2 linked regions of the Schizosaccharomyces pombe genome follow. Changing the gene in region 2 together with the main gene of any one other region gives a genetic interaction. Each region holds a gene or a part of one and is shown on either strand. Other genes may lie near its edges.

What was found.
Region 1: mutations in azr1 (region 2) and sck1 together harm fitness more than expected from each alone (negative genetic interaction), as found in Schizosaccharomyces pombe (one large-scale study listed by BioGRID).

The regions. Positions count from the first base shown.
Region 1 is NC_003424.3:2,401,475-2,407,681, reverse strand, and holds sck1 (serine/threonine protein kinase S6K family Sck1), read left to right. Parts: upstream 1-2,978; 5' UTR 2,979-3,075; coding exon 3,076-3,315; exon of another isoform or gene 3,316-3,431; coding exon 3,432-4,122; intron 4,123-4,171; coding exon 4,172-5,138; exon of another isoform or gene 5,139-5,188; coding exon 5,189-5,381; 3' UTR 5,382-5,666; downstream 5,667-6,207. Other genes in the region: SPOM_SPAC1B9.03C (ribosome biogenesis protein), read right to left, coding at 1-816, 877-936, 995-1,018; nuclear import protein Nxt2, read left to right, coding at 6,110-6,116, 6,159-6,207. UniProt on the Schizosaccharomyces pombe protein: Protein kinase that is part of growth control pathway which is at least partially redundant with the cAMP pathway. Required for trehalase activation.
Region 2 is NC_003424.3:3,796,559-3,805,036, forward strand, and holds azr1 (mitochondrial protein phosphatase Azr1), read left to right. Parts: upstream 1-2,471; 5' UTR 2,472-2,685; coding exon 2,686-3,122; exon of another isoform or gene 3,123-3,172; coding exon 3,173-3,577; exon of another isoform or gene 3,578-3,625; coding exon 3,626-3,683; 3' UTR 3,684-3,754; coding exon of another isoform or gene 3,755-3,793; 3' UTR 3,794-3,834; coding exon of another isoform or gene 3,835-3,913; 3' UTR 3,914-3,976; coding exon of another isoform or gene 3,977-4,059; 3' UTR 4,060-4,127; coding exon of another isoform or gene 4,128-4,189; 3' UTR 4,190-4,241; coding exon of another isoform or gene 4,242-4,380; 3' UTR 4,381-4,689; coding exon of another isoform or gene 4,690-4,833; 3' UTR 4,834-4,883; coding exon of another isoform or gene 4,884-5,031; 3' UTR 5,032-5,075; coding exon of another isoform or gene 5,076-5,085; 3' UTR 5,086-5,125; downstream 5,126-8,478. Other genes in the region: succinate dehydrogenase Sdh1, read right to left, coding at 1-1,668, 1,790-1,888; cdd1 (cytidine deaminase Ccd1), read right to left, coding at 3,755-3,793, 3,835-3,913, 3,977-4,059, 4,128-4,189, 4,242-4,380; CGR1 family ribosome biogenesis protein, read right to left, coding at 4,690-4,833, 4,884-5,031, 5,076-5,085, 5,126-5,159; meu1 (protein meu1-1), read left to right, coding at 5,993-8,029, 8,103-8,396. UniProt on the Schizosaccharomyces pombe protein: Confers azacytidine resistance in high copy.

The DNA.
Region 1 (6,207 bases), 1.4 Mb from region 2:
CAATTCCAATGTCATCCTAGGGCCTATTTCAATTAACTTAATTGCCTGTTGCTTAGGTTTTAATAGTTGAGATGCCGATAGTAGATTCTCTTCAGTTTTAGTCGGTACAGGACGATCAATCTCTACGGTTGCATCCTCTTCGATTTCTGAGTCACTTGCTGCACCAGAAATACCATCACCATGTAAAACATAATCCGAAATATCACGAACATTGTGTAAATCAGGGATATCAGAGTCCTTTTTTTCACCTTTCAACAGATGTCTTATAGGGCGAGAAATACCCACAGGCTTCGTGCTAATTATGAAATGACGAAGGTCGATATAACCATCGTCGCGGCGGTTTAATAACAGAACCCGTTTAACACTATTAATGTTGGTATGTTGGACTGAAATTGGAGGAAACATATTTTGAAATGTAGTCGTTAGCAAAGCTTCATGGGGAGAGTCTTTTGACGAATTTTGATTAAAATGATTCATGACCAAAAGTGGAGGAGTAAGGAACTCTGTTGTTGGAGATTTAGGATTTTTTTGAAGTCTTCGAACATCTTTGTTCAGCATATACTCATGAATCCTAAAATGTAATGAGGGACCTCTAGGAGCCCTAATGATTCTCAAGTTCGCATTGTTGTCAGTGCGAGAGAGGACAAGAAGATGTGTAACTCCAAGAGGTCCAGCCATAGTCAAGTAATCTTTTATTTTATTAGCTTTACGCTCCTTTAATCGAATAGCTGTATGTGGTTCCATCATATGTCGAAGATCTCGAGTAAGCAAAGATAAGCTTCTACCTACTTCAGAAGCGCCCGATCGAATTACCATCTTAAATAAGAATTAGCAAAGGGACTAAAAAATTTTACAATTTTACAAAATTGCACATACCGATTTAGGAATTGCTGCTTCTTGTATAGGATCAGCTTTCAAATGCGTCCTCTTTTTTACCTATAATTAAATTAGTTTAAATAAAGTATTTCTTTTAAACTATCCATTCTCAACATACCCGTTTTTTACCAATGCCTCCCATTCTTTGTGGTTGGTAGTTAAAAAAAATTGTACACTCTCAAGAACACCAATATGCAAAGTTCATTTCCGCCAACATGACAATAAAGATGGCAATAGACATTATTTTTTTGAAAGCTGAATTTTCTATTTTAACATATCTCATTTACATGCTGTGAACATAATTTGAGCGAGAAATTTTTTATACTAGTATAGTTAATAATAATGTTATGGGCCTAGAAGTAAAAAAAGAAAAAAACACGTGAAATTGAGAATAATGACCGTACTACGAAATTATGAAAAATCTTTTATAAACACTTATTTAATCAATAATTTTTTGGAAGTAACTGATTGTATACAAAATGATGAACTTCTAAAATATACCGGTTTATTTGTCGGGCGTAAATCTATTGTTTGTACACTGACTTTGGATGATGCATATCATTAATGTAATTGTAGCTGATATCTCTTGACTTTTGTTTTGGAAATTAAACTATTTTGTATTGATAAATTAACGTAGAAAAGCACCACGATAACCTGAACCTCGCCTCAGCAGCTGTTTGTTTAACCTATGCGGAAGACCCCCACATGGTCCTTATTATCGGTTTTATGCCTAACACTAGCAGCTTAGCAGTGGTTATTAAAATGAAAGCCCCCACAAAGTACTAAGATGGGTTTGCTAGTACGGCTAATCAAGGTTGCGTAGCAACGTTTGTCAGAGGAACGAAAAGTGGTACTTTGAATGTCATTAATTTAACCGATGATTTTCTTATTTTGTTTGTAATTTCTGATGGTCTTTTACGATATTTAATTTGAAATACTGTGCTATGAAAAAAAATAATAATAAACAATAGCAGTGAACTATGACAAACTAGCTCTTATTATATAAATTACTATACAAAGTTATCTTTTTACATGAAATTTTATTTCTCGTTTTTTTTAATCATTTTCCTTTTAAATCTTTTTTTTGGGGAGGGAATTAACAGTTTAAAAAAATTTTTAACAAGGGTTATTTTTTTGGCTCCATTTTAATTAATTGTACTCTGTAAATAAAAGATTTAATAAACTCAAGGAATATAATTGACCACAGTAATGAGTATAGAGAGACTTAAATAAAAAAAAATTAAAATTAAAATTAAATCAGCCGAAATACAAAAATCCCGAGTATTTTGCATCAAACGCATATCAGAAACCATGAGAAGCAAATAACAATTAGAAATTGTGCCCAAATTTGCTAATGTATGTCAGTAAGTTACAATTTTAATTGACCAGTGGACATCCTACTAAAGCTCATTCATTCAAACACTACAATTGATTTATTAAAGAAAAAGAAACTTTTCTGGTAAATTTAGTATGACCTTTGGTTAAGGCATCAGCCAACGCATTAAAAATTATTTGATAAATGTTTATAAAAAAAGAGTGTAGCATTTTTCGGTACTATCTAGGTATTCCTCGAAACTAAACAGTCGAAAATCTCATAGCTTGAGCTCTCCGAAATTACGTTGTAATGTGCTTTAATTTCTTTTGTATATGTAGGCTAAAATAAATATACATGAAGTTTCTACTAAGCCATTCGGAGAACTCTGTTTCGATACTCCTTCGTTGGACAAACCTTTGAAAATCACAAGACATTTCTGAGTCAACAGCGTATTAATTGCTCGATAAATTTCTTTTTCTGCTTTTAGAATAAGTGCATAATAATAAAATACACTGCAAAGGAATTTTTCAAATGTTTAGGGTTATACATCCCCCTTACCTGAATCCCTTAAGAAATAGATAAATGGAAGTGCGGCGCCCCTCTGATATTATAACCATTTAAAATTATACATCTATATAATCATAGTAAAATACGAATTAGTGTTCGAAAAATACTGGATTTTCTATCCGTTCGCTAAGATATCGTACTCCCGGATGTTACCACACTTTTCGATTAAGGGAATTGCGAAGGTTACATATGCGAAACACCTGCTGGTCGAACCAACTTTAAACACCACACCCTATTATTAGTAACACCAGACGAGGAATCCGATTCCATTAAAAGAGTATTAAAAGATTCTTGATTGATCATTGCTTTTGCTGAAAATGACCGAAATTTTCGGTAAATTGCATCGATCATCAAATTCTGAGAATACAAATCAAGCATCGCCATCCACAATACAATCGCATTCAACGCAACCGGTTCTTTCCAATGACCATTCTACGAAAGTAAACGATTACGAAGGGAAAGAGGGTGCTTCGTCTAATGGCTATGATCCCGTTTTCATGTCGGATCGGATGAAGATGCGTTACAATGAGATTACAGCTCAGCTTCACAAAGAACAGGTATGTTATAATTGATTTTTTGCTTGAAAGACAATCTTCCCCATAGCTTTCTTTATTGTGTTTTTCAAAAATCACTGTCTCCATAAATTGTTGTTCACTTGGCTAACCTATCATAGTCCTTAAAGGAAGATAAAGAATCTGGTTCTAATAGTTCCGAAAGCAATGGAATTACACCAATGGGTACATATTCAGAAAAACCCAAACTACTACAGAGTCGTACACCTCCATCTTCGTGTTACATTAGGCATGATACCGTTGTGCCAAAAGATAAAAATGGTCAGCATGCTTTTGGACGGCTTTATGTTCGATTACATCAAGGTAGAGATTTGAACGTCAAAAGTGTTAATGCACAACCTTATGCAGTAATCACCTTTGAAAAAACGCAGGTTATGGTACCTCCTCCTTTTAAAGACATTGACGGTGGGATACCCATTTCCATTCCTTCTAAAAACCGTCCTCTTGCTGGATCTGCTTCCGGTTCTTCTTCTGGACTACATTCTGAGCTAATGTTGGCTGATGTGCGTTGTCCTCATTGGGATTTTGAAACTGTATTTGATGTGACAAAAATGAAAAGTCAAATGGTTGTATCTGTATATGACAAATATGAAGACGATAAATTTTTGGGCTCCGTTAAAATTACACCAATTTTCCTACATGAATATGTGCAGGAAGCATGGTATAAGCTTGAGCCTCTTGACTTAACTAAGTCTCTGGAGGGTGAAATAAAAGTGGAAACAATTTACGAGCACATTGAACATGTTCGTTATGGGCCAGAAGATTTTACGGCCCTTCGTTTAATCGGAAAAGGTAAAGCTGCTTTAAGCTAAAAAATTTACGGTATACTAACTTTATTTAGGCACTTTTGGGCAAGTTTATTTGGTCCGTAAAAACGATACCAATCGGATTTATGCTATGAAAAAGATATCCAAAAAATTAATTGTTCGTAAAAAAGAGGTTACACATACCTTGGGCGAAAGGAATATACTTGTCAGGACTTCATTAGACGAATCTCCGTTTATTGTTGGTTTAAAGTTTTCCTTTCAGACCGCTTCAGATCTTTATTTGATAACTGATTATATGAGTGGAGGCGAACTTTTCTGGCATCTTCAACATGAAGGTCGCTTTCCTGAGCAAAGAGCTAAATTTTATATAGCCGAACTTGTTTTGGCTCTTGAACATTTGCATAAACATGATATTATTTACCGAGATTTAAAGCCTGAAAACATACTATTAGATGCAGATGGTCATATTGCTCTTTGCGATTTTGGTTTGTCTAAGGCAAACCTTTCAGCTAACGCAACTACTAATACCTTTTGTGGAACCACCGAATATTTGGCACCTGAAGTTTTACTTGAGGACAAGGGGTATACTAAACAGGTCGATTTCTGGTCTTTAGGAGTCCTTGTCTTTGAGATGTGCTGCGGATGGAGCCCCTTTTATGCTCCAGACGTCCAACAAATGTATCGTAATATTGCCTTTGGAAAGGTCCGTTTTCCAAAAGGAGTTCTTTCATCAGAGGGTCGAAGCTTTGTTCGAGGCCTTTTAAATCGCAATCCAAATCATCGTTTAGGAGCAGTTGCTGACACTACTGAATTAAAAGAGCATCCTTTTTTTGCAGACATAAATTGGGACCTACTTAGCAAGAAGAAGGTTCAGCCGCCTTTTAAACCGAATGTTCAAAATGATCTGGATGTTTCCAATTTTGATAAAGAGTTTACCAATACTAATGTGAAAAATATCAATATAGTTTCCAATGTTGATCCCGCTAATGCCTCGACACCTCTATCCAACACGATTCAGGACAGATTTCGTGGTTTCACTTTGTAAGTTTATTTTTAAATATTTGACCATCAACTAACCTTAAACTTTATAGTGTCAATAAGTCCATTGATGAACAGTTTCAGAACCTGGGACTACAAGAAAACGAAGAGACAGATAATTTACATGCGTGTCGCACAACAACCCATTCATCGGTTAATTCAATAAATTCACATGGGAATCCACGTACGGTGGATGCTAACGATCCCGTCGCAGATACTGTGTTCGGCGAGACGTTCGAAGCTTGATAAGCTTGCTCCAATCAAAAAATTTGTCTCCTATTATCCACAATAGAAGATAACTTATTATGTATTATGTTCCCCTTTCGTTATAGTTATTTTGTCTCTCAAAGGCTTCGCTCCGTGTTTTCTAGTTTACCCAGGAATTAAAGCAAACTGTGGGTGTTTTGCTTTTGTTTCCTTCTATCCTTTATTATTTGTTACGTTCTATTTTGTAGTCATCTTCATATTTTATTATGTGAACATTTAATAGATTAAGTTTTACATTTTTATCCCAACTCAAATACTTGTTGCTTTCTTTTAATTATGATTGAAGGTGCATTAATTATGCAAAATGTGAAATACATCGTTATAAAAAAGAATGTAGCATTTAATAAGCAATCTTCACAATCAAGTAAATATTATGTTCCATTTCGTTCATGATACTAGTTAGACGCTAGCACCATATTTTTTCTCATAAATTTTGTCTCAATAGGAACGGATAAACATCTATCCTGTTGTTTGCATGAAGTAAAACCCCTTCAAATCTTATTGCAAATTCGTTTTTCTACCATTGCCAATACTATTCGAATAGAGGACTTTTGCCAAATAACACAACTATAAGTTTATCATGTTATTTTACATATTAAGAGTTGTATCATTTTACGTTAAATTACTTAAGGTGTCTGTACGATCTTTTTTGACGCGATTTTTCGAACTTGAAATAATAGGTCTACCTTTTACCACCATCTTTCATTATGGCTGGTAAGATAAAAATTTGTATGATTTATTGCTAATACTCTGCAGACTATAATGCTTTGGCGACCCAGTTCACTCAATTTTACTACCAAACTTT
Region 2 (8,478 bases):
TTCACGAGCATGGGCACCGCGAGATTCTTTGCGGTTGAGAGCTGCATTAGCAGTTTGCACAGCACAAGTTAAAAGGTTACGTAATTCAAGGGCTTCAACAAGATCGGTGTTCCAGATTAAACCACGGTCCCTGATTCCAATATCCTTGTAAGTGCCGTCAACACGAGCAATGTTCTTAACACCTTCTTGAAGAGTTTCTTCCATACGGAAAACTGAGACATCACGTTGCATCGTCTTTTGCATATCCAAACGAATTTCACTGGTATGTTTAGGGCCTTGCGAAGTGCGAATTTGGTCCAAAAATTTTAGAGAATCCAATCCGGCATCAGCTGCAAGCGGTTTATGAGGGGTATTGGGTTCAAGCGTATCCTTAATATGTAAAGCACAGGCACGTCCAAAAACAACAATGTCCAGAAGAGAGTTGGCACCAAGACGGTTACCTCCATGGACAGATACACAAGCAGCTTCACCAGCAGCATACAATCCAGGAACAATCTTATCCTTCCCATTTTCGTCAATAGTGAGGACTTCACCGGTGAAACGGGTAGGAATACCACCCATATTGTAGTGAACTGTAGGTAAAACGGGGATAGGCTCTTTAGTAACATCTACACCAGCAAAGATAGCAGCAGTTTCGGAAATGCCAGGAAGACGCTCTTTCAAAATTTCAGCGGGGAGGTGAGAAAGCTGCAAATAACAATGATCCTTTTCAGGGCCAACACCACGGCCTTCACGAATTTCAACAGTCATAGCACGAGAAACGACATCACGAGAAGCCAAATCCTTAGCGGTAGGAGCATAGCGTTCCATAAAACGCTCACCCTTGCTGTTCAAAAGATAACCACCTTCACCACGGCAACCTTCAGTAATTAAACAACCAGCACCATAGATACCAGTAGGGTGAAATTGAACAAACTCGAGATCTTGTAGAGGAAGTCCAGCACGAGAAACCATGGCATTACCATCACCAGTACAGGTATGAGCTGAGGTGCAAGAGAAATAGGCACGTCCATAACCACCAGTAGCCAAAATAGTCTTGTGAGCACGGAATCTGTGAATACTACCGTCTTCCAAATTCATAGCAATGACACCACGACATTCACCACCTTCCATGATTAAATCCATTGCAAAATACTCAATAAAAAAGTTTGTGTTATGTTTAAGAGATTGCCCGTAAAGAGTGTGCAAGATAGAATGTCCAGTACGATCGGCAACAGCAGCACAGCGATATGCCTGTCCACCTTTACCATATTCAAGGGATTGACCGCCAAAAGCACGTTGATAAATCTTTCCCTCCTTCGTTCTTGAAAAAGGTACACCAAAATGTTCCAACTCCAAAACTGCTTTGGGTGCTTCTTTAGTCATGTAATGAATAGCATCTTGATCACCCAACCAATCTGATCCTTTGACAGTGTCATAGAAATGCCAGCGCCAGTCATCTTTTGTCATATTACCGAGTGCAGCGTTGATACCACCTTGGGCAGCGACAGTATGGGACCTCGTAGGAAAGAGCTTAGTAATACATGCAGTATTAAAGCCGGCTTCTGCCAAACCAAAAGTAGCACGAAGACCGGCACCTCCGGCACCTACAACGATAGCATCGTATGTATGGTCAATGACTGGATATTTAACGGATTCTGATGTTGAAACTTGCTTTGCTCTTAAAGGCTACATTGTTAGATTGTTTAGAAAACTGTTCATAGAGTAGAGAAACAAAGAAGGGTTGCTTAAAAATCATAAAATTTGCACCGCTTCCAAAAATAAGACGAGTCACTAAAAAAAAACATACCTGGCTTGAAGCTATTTTTTTTAAAGTTGAAGAAGTAGAAAATAGCTTCAGATTCCCTCCATTTTTTAGACTTGGAGCGACTTTTCGAAATCTGAGCATTATATGTGTTGGATGTGGTGGAAGGAGAAGCTTTGGTAATTGGGCATCTCTTAAGGAAGTACAGCATCGTTAAGTGCGGAAGTTTGAAATACCGCCCTTCTTATTCGTCAACTCCATAAGCGAAATCTAATCAATACTCTTCTATTTCCGTGTCTTTAACTTTAACTTACATTATTGGCTTAACCCACATCTCGGTTTAATGACACAAACTGCTTCAATACCATCATCATTCAGCTCGTTAAGAAAAGCAGTTTTAGTACTACTCGGTGAAAACCCAAGAACTACGTATAAAATATATTTTTACTATTGCTTTGTGCCTCCAAACTTTTCCGATAAAAATTAGCTAGCTAAATCTCGAGGACAAGACGCTTAGTTCTTCCAGAGTGTTAGTAAACAATTGTGCAAGTGCATTGAAGCAACAGTCAGTATTTTTTTTTGTTAATCTCAAACATTTATATCGTGAAATATTAATTAAACTGCTCCTAAGTTATGATTTATCAAGATGCTCCTCGCTCACTATTATACCGCATTACATGATAGTTTGGTAAATATATAAGGACTCTTGGAAGTTCAATAATAGTACAGGCACTTACTACAAACTCATCAATCATATCCCCACCGTTTATTTATATAATTAGATGGGTATACAAAACTAACATATCATACAATTCTCTTACTTTGAGTCTGATATCTGTTTTTGTAAGTCGTGTTCATACACACTTTATAAAGTGTTGAACAGAAAGCAATTGTTATAACTTCTTAGACAGGGTGATTAAAACAATTTCTATGATCCCTCAATGAATGTTACTCGTCTTTACTTTCGTGTCGCTGGAACAAAACAGTTCGCCCGATATGTGCACAAATATGCTGCATATTCCTCTACGAGCTTTCAAAAAAAGAAATCTCATTTCCCATCTCCTGCTACGCTCGATCACCCGGATGCCGGAGAAGACGCTTTTATAAATTTAAGGAATGAAAACTATATCTTAAATGCAGTATTTGACGGAGTTGGAGGCTGGGCGAATGTGGGGATTGATCCGTCAATATTTAGTTGGGGATTGGTTCGGGAAATAAAAAAAGTCTTTAACAATTCTGACGAATTCCAACCAAGTCCTCTCACTTTACTTTCCAAAGCATATGCAGCTTTGAAGAAAAGTAACACTGTTGAGGCTGGCTCAAGCACTGCTTGCCTTACATTGTTCAATTGCGGAAACGGTAAACTTCATTCATTAAAGTACGTTATTTGTTCATTGGTTCATAAATTCTTACTAACTTTATTTCAAGCCTTGGTGACTCAGGATTTCTTATCCTTAGAAATGGTGCTATCCATTATGCATCACCTGCCCAAGTACTCCAATTTAATATGCCATATCAATTGGCTATATATCCTAGGAACTATCGTTCCGCTGAAAACATTGGGCCTAAAATGGGACAAGCAACTGTGCACGACCTTAAAGACAATGACTTGGTAATTTTAGCTACCGATGGCATATTTGATAATATAGAGGAAAAGTCGATCTTAGACATCGCTGGCGTCGTTGATTTTAGCTCTCTTTCGAATGTTCAGAAATGCCTTGATGATTTGGCTATGCGCATTTGTAGGCAAGCAGTTTTGAATTCGTTGGATACGAAATGGGAATCTCCATTCGCAAAAACGGCAAAGAGTTTTGGTTTCAAGTTTCAAGGAGGGTACGATAAAATAATTTATATGTGAAAATATATTAACAAGCACATTAGGAAAGTGGATGATACTACCATTACATGTTTACTGATAAAGTCCAAAAATTATGAGTAAAATTAGTATCTTCTTCGAACGAAATACGCTTATATTGAATTACTTTAGTTCATTAAGGGTCCTTGAATCGTTCATTTCAAATCATCTGGACCAAAAGAGTCAGGAAGTAACTGCCAATCATGTTAATGACATTCAAGTAACGCTTGCATACCTCTTCTATCGTTTTCATATCATAACCCCCGTCGTCATGAAACATATAAACATTTATATCCTTCGAAAATTCACGAATTCTTAACAACGTTTTGTTAGTAAATTCAACGGAAGGATTTCTTTTTCCTTAACTGTCAACTTACACTTGACGACAAATACCACAGGGCGTAACTCTTCCCTTGGCACTCATCACTCCAATAGCCATAAATTTAGTGTAACCCATGCTCTTTTAAGGTTGATGTGAGTTATAATGGTCAAAGCGGTAGCAACTCTTCACGCGCAACTTAATCTTACCACTGCTTTTGTAATTGCTACTCGTTCGGCACAGATGCAATTGCCATATGATGCGTTTTCAACTGTTTGATACGTTAGATTTCATATTTTTTGAATTCGGTACAATCTTTTTACCATTAGCTCCATAAATATATGTATTTTTATCGTCGGATACTACGCATGCACCTACTGCGAAGTTGGAGTAGGGACAATATGAATATTGTAAACTCTTTTTTACTTCTTGAAATAACTTCTCAATATCTTCTTTTTCCATTTTTTGAGTGCGACTAGATTTATTTTGTGAAAAAAAAATAACTCCGATGCACAAAAAAATTGCAGAATATATATACAACCTACTAAAACGATATTATCTAGCAATGTTGGAAGAAATGTTGTGAGCTGAGCTCCCGGTATATCCTCGGGGCAACGAATACCAAAGCGTATCCACTATTCCGTTAACTACTATCATTATTTTTCTAATACAATGATGTTATTACGAGTTGAAGATTGAAACTGTAAAAGTGATCAATGTTATACCACTTCAAAAGAATATTATTTTTCCAATTATGTAACCGAATTCCATTCATCGCTCTTTCAACATTTTGTTACGCTTCTCTCTGCGTCGCCGACGATCTATCACCTTTTGGTGAAGTTTAGCTTGCAACAATTCCATTCGTTCACGGTCTGCTTTTGCTTGACGACGGGTACGGATTTTTTCGGCATGAGCCTTATGAATAATTAGTAATGGATATGATACTACTGATAAAGAATACTTACAGCACGCTGTTCTTCTTTCTCTCTTTTCAATTCCTTTTCACGCTCTTTAATCTCATCTAACTTCCGCTTTTGTTCCATACGCTTTTCATACGGAGTTCTTTGAGCATCAGCAAGGCCACTTCTGTTGTACGCCTTTTTCTCAGTTTTCCTAATTGTTTAATAAAAGCTTTCTCATACTGATAAAAAGCATACCATGGTTTTCCTAAAGAATTAGTACTTAATAAACTTGCTCAATTCCATACCTGAAACACATACACCCTTAGTTCCATTAACCATTGTGTATCTGGTTTTTGGTACAAAATTTCTTCTAAACCTCTATTGAACCATCGGTCAAACTCATTAAATTTGGTTAACGTAGTCTCGTTTTTACAGTCTAAATTATTTCAGTCAGTAAACTAATTCGGTTGTAAAATTGTCTTTTGTAAAGTGATAATCGCCTAATATTGAAAACCAAAGTTCTAAAAGATAGCAGTTTATCTTAACAAATGAAACGAAACTAGACATAATGACTCCTGCCAACGAGAGTGTTTTGGGGATTTTTTTTACAAAATTGTCTTGAGACAGCAAATCAAAGATACCTGAAATACTTAATACTATTTTTCATGCTAATTTTTGTTCTGTTTTCTACTCGAAATAAATATCCTCGGTAAAGTGTTTGGCAGTAGGAAAAAATACACCTTAAACTTTCTGAGGGGTTCTCATTGTTTTTTTTTTAATATTTTACTGATATTTCGATTAATCGAATTATGCGTGAACGAATACGTTTATTAACGGTTAAAATACCTGTTGGCGTATGATCATACACAATCGAATGTTTGTTGACACCTGCACATATTGAGGTGTTTGTTTATAAATCACAGGAGCATAAGCGAATGGATTTGTCACTTACCAAACAGTTCTAACATATTACCCTCAAGGAAAATTTTGCTTTAATTTACTTGTGTTGAATAATTTGGAATTTTTTTTAGAGCATAATCGCATAATACACAAAATCTCGATTAAGCATAAACTCCCAGAACGTTAACATATAACCGAATCTTCTAAACTCTTAGTATATGAGATATCAGAAATAATAAAGGAATTTCTTAAATAATATAAAGAAAAGAAATATGTCTATACCGGCTAACGTTCTGATGGAAATATCATTTCAGGAGCTGACATCTAAGAAGTCCGAAGAATATGAAAGAAAGAGACTCAACGAGATCGGGGATCTTCTTACACCTCAGAAAATAGAAGAAGTTTTGAACTGCAAAGATACTAAACAACGGAATGTTTCCCTAGAAGATATCTTCCAGGATTTCTTAAATTTTATAATTACGAAAAACCAGGAAATGTTTAGTATGGATTGCAATTCTATCTGCAAGTCATATGTCTTAAAGGTAGCAGAAGAAAAAATAGAAAAGCTCTTGAAGGAAAACGGGACTCTCAAAAATGAAGAAAAATGCTTGCGAATGCAAATTGTAGCGCAAGAAGAATATGTAGCCCCGTTGATTCAAAAGTTAGAAATCATTGAAAAAAAACTGGATAAATCGTTTAGAAAGAATATGGAAGATGAATTACGAATAACACGGTTGGCTTCAGAAAACAATGTATTAATTTCAAGGATTGACCGAACAAAGCGTCATTTTTCTGAGTTGTTCACTCAAAAACAAATGCTGCAACTTCAGAACGAGAATTTTAAAGACGACTATGAGAAGATAAAAGAAGAGAACAAAAGATTATATAAAGAAAGGAAAAGTTTTCTCTCCAAGATCGAAAAATCAGCGTGCGAAATTCATGATCTCAAGGAGTCTGATAGTTTCAAAGATCACGAAATATTAAGGCTGAAAGAGGAAAGGACTGCTGCTATGCAAGCAATAGATGATATTAGTGGAACAATTGAAACTATTAAGAGTGATTGTTATAAGGTTGAAAGTGAAAACAAAGGCTTAATCAATGAAGTTATGGATATGAGAAACTTTGTTCAACAGCTTGAACAAGAGTTGTATGCCTTTGAGGATGACTATAGCCGAATACAAAATGACGAAGAGTTATTGAAGGTTGGTATGATACATTTAAATAAATCCGAAAATCGTACCGTAGAAGAAATGAAGATTGGTGATTTTGGAAATACTGAAGAAGCAAAAGACGTTTGCGTTTCTGACGAAGATATACACAATGTTAACATAAAACAAATCACTACGTTAATTGGAAAGATGAGCCAAGTGCAAATAGAATGTAAAAGGTTAAGAAAGGAAAACCTCTTTTTACAGAGTGAAAGAACTCACCTACTCAGAGAATTAGAAGAATTACGACATTTGGCTACTTCTGCTAAAGAAGATTTTGTAAAAGTTGAAAAACTAAACAAAATCATTAAGGACGAAAACGAAAACCTCAAGGAATACATCCGAAACAACAGTCTTTCCTTTCAAGCCACTGCGGGTGAATTAACTCAGTGTAAGCAATTACCACAGCCTCGGATTACTGGTAACGATCAAGAAAATTCACACTACACAGGAGCAGGTAATAATTGCCTTGAATTAGTAGGAAAGGAAAACAATTGTAAAAACCAATATCCTCAATACTTCTCAAATATTGATGAATCCAACGCATTTATAAATAATCAGTGTCTTGAGTTAGAGGCTCTGAACAGGAAAAACGATTTAATTAGAGGAGAACTAGATTCACTCAAGGAGAAGAATCTCGTTGCCCAAAAGCAATTAAAGTCGGCTAACAACACGCTTCACGTTCGGGCTAAGCACATCCAAATACTCGAAAACACAAATCAATCTTTAAAAAAGAACCTGGAGAATGGAAGAGCAGAGTTTAGGTTGAAAGAAATTGCCCTTATTGATTTAGCTAACCAACAGATCAAAAACCAAGACAAGACGATTCACGATTTGAATACCGAGCTATGTAGCTTAACACTGGACTATTGCAATACCGCAGTGGAACGAGACACACTGCGCTTCCGTGCTTTAGAATATTTAGATCATAACAAACAAACAAACCCTCTGCCATACCACATTGTCTACATGTTTAGCTTCGAAACCTCGCCAACTGTTTTTCAAACTTCTCCTGAGGAGGATAAAGAGAACGTCAACAATATAAAAATTTCTCAACCGAGAAACTCATTGCAAACCAATGGATATATTGAAGGCATGGCTGTAAGTGTTGATTCATAAAGCAATATTTCAATAGGATTTCAAAGAATAAGAACTTAACCAAAACACAAACCAGAATAATGTTTTAGATGCCTCTTTTAATGTTGAAGACGAATCCCATGCCATTAGCGATAGTGAATTGGGCTATTTTTGCGAGGATCAATCAAATATTTACGAAGTTGAAGATATGCGTTATTATTTGTTTTACACTGAGGAGGAAAAAAATATGCTTCCCGGATTCATTGTAAATGCAAGACCGGCTAACTTAGATCTATTTCCTTGTTGTTATGAAACCACTGATAAGCGATCAAAGCATCTCAAAAACATGTTAAACAAAAAAAAGCTTATCAAGCATATCTTCCATTTATAATCTTGAAATGGTTAGTCCGCATAAAGATAACAGTTGAAGAAAGCATCTTGGAATTTAAGTACGCGTGGACTTGTGCTGCCAG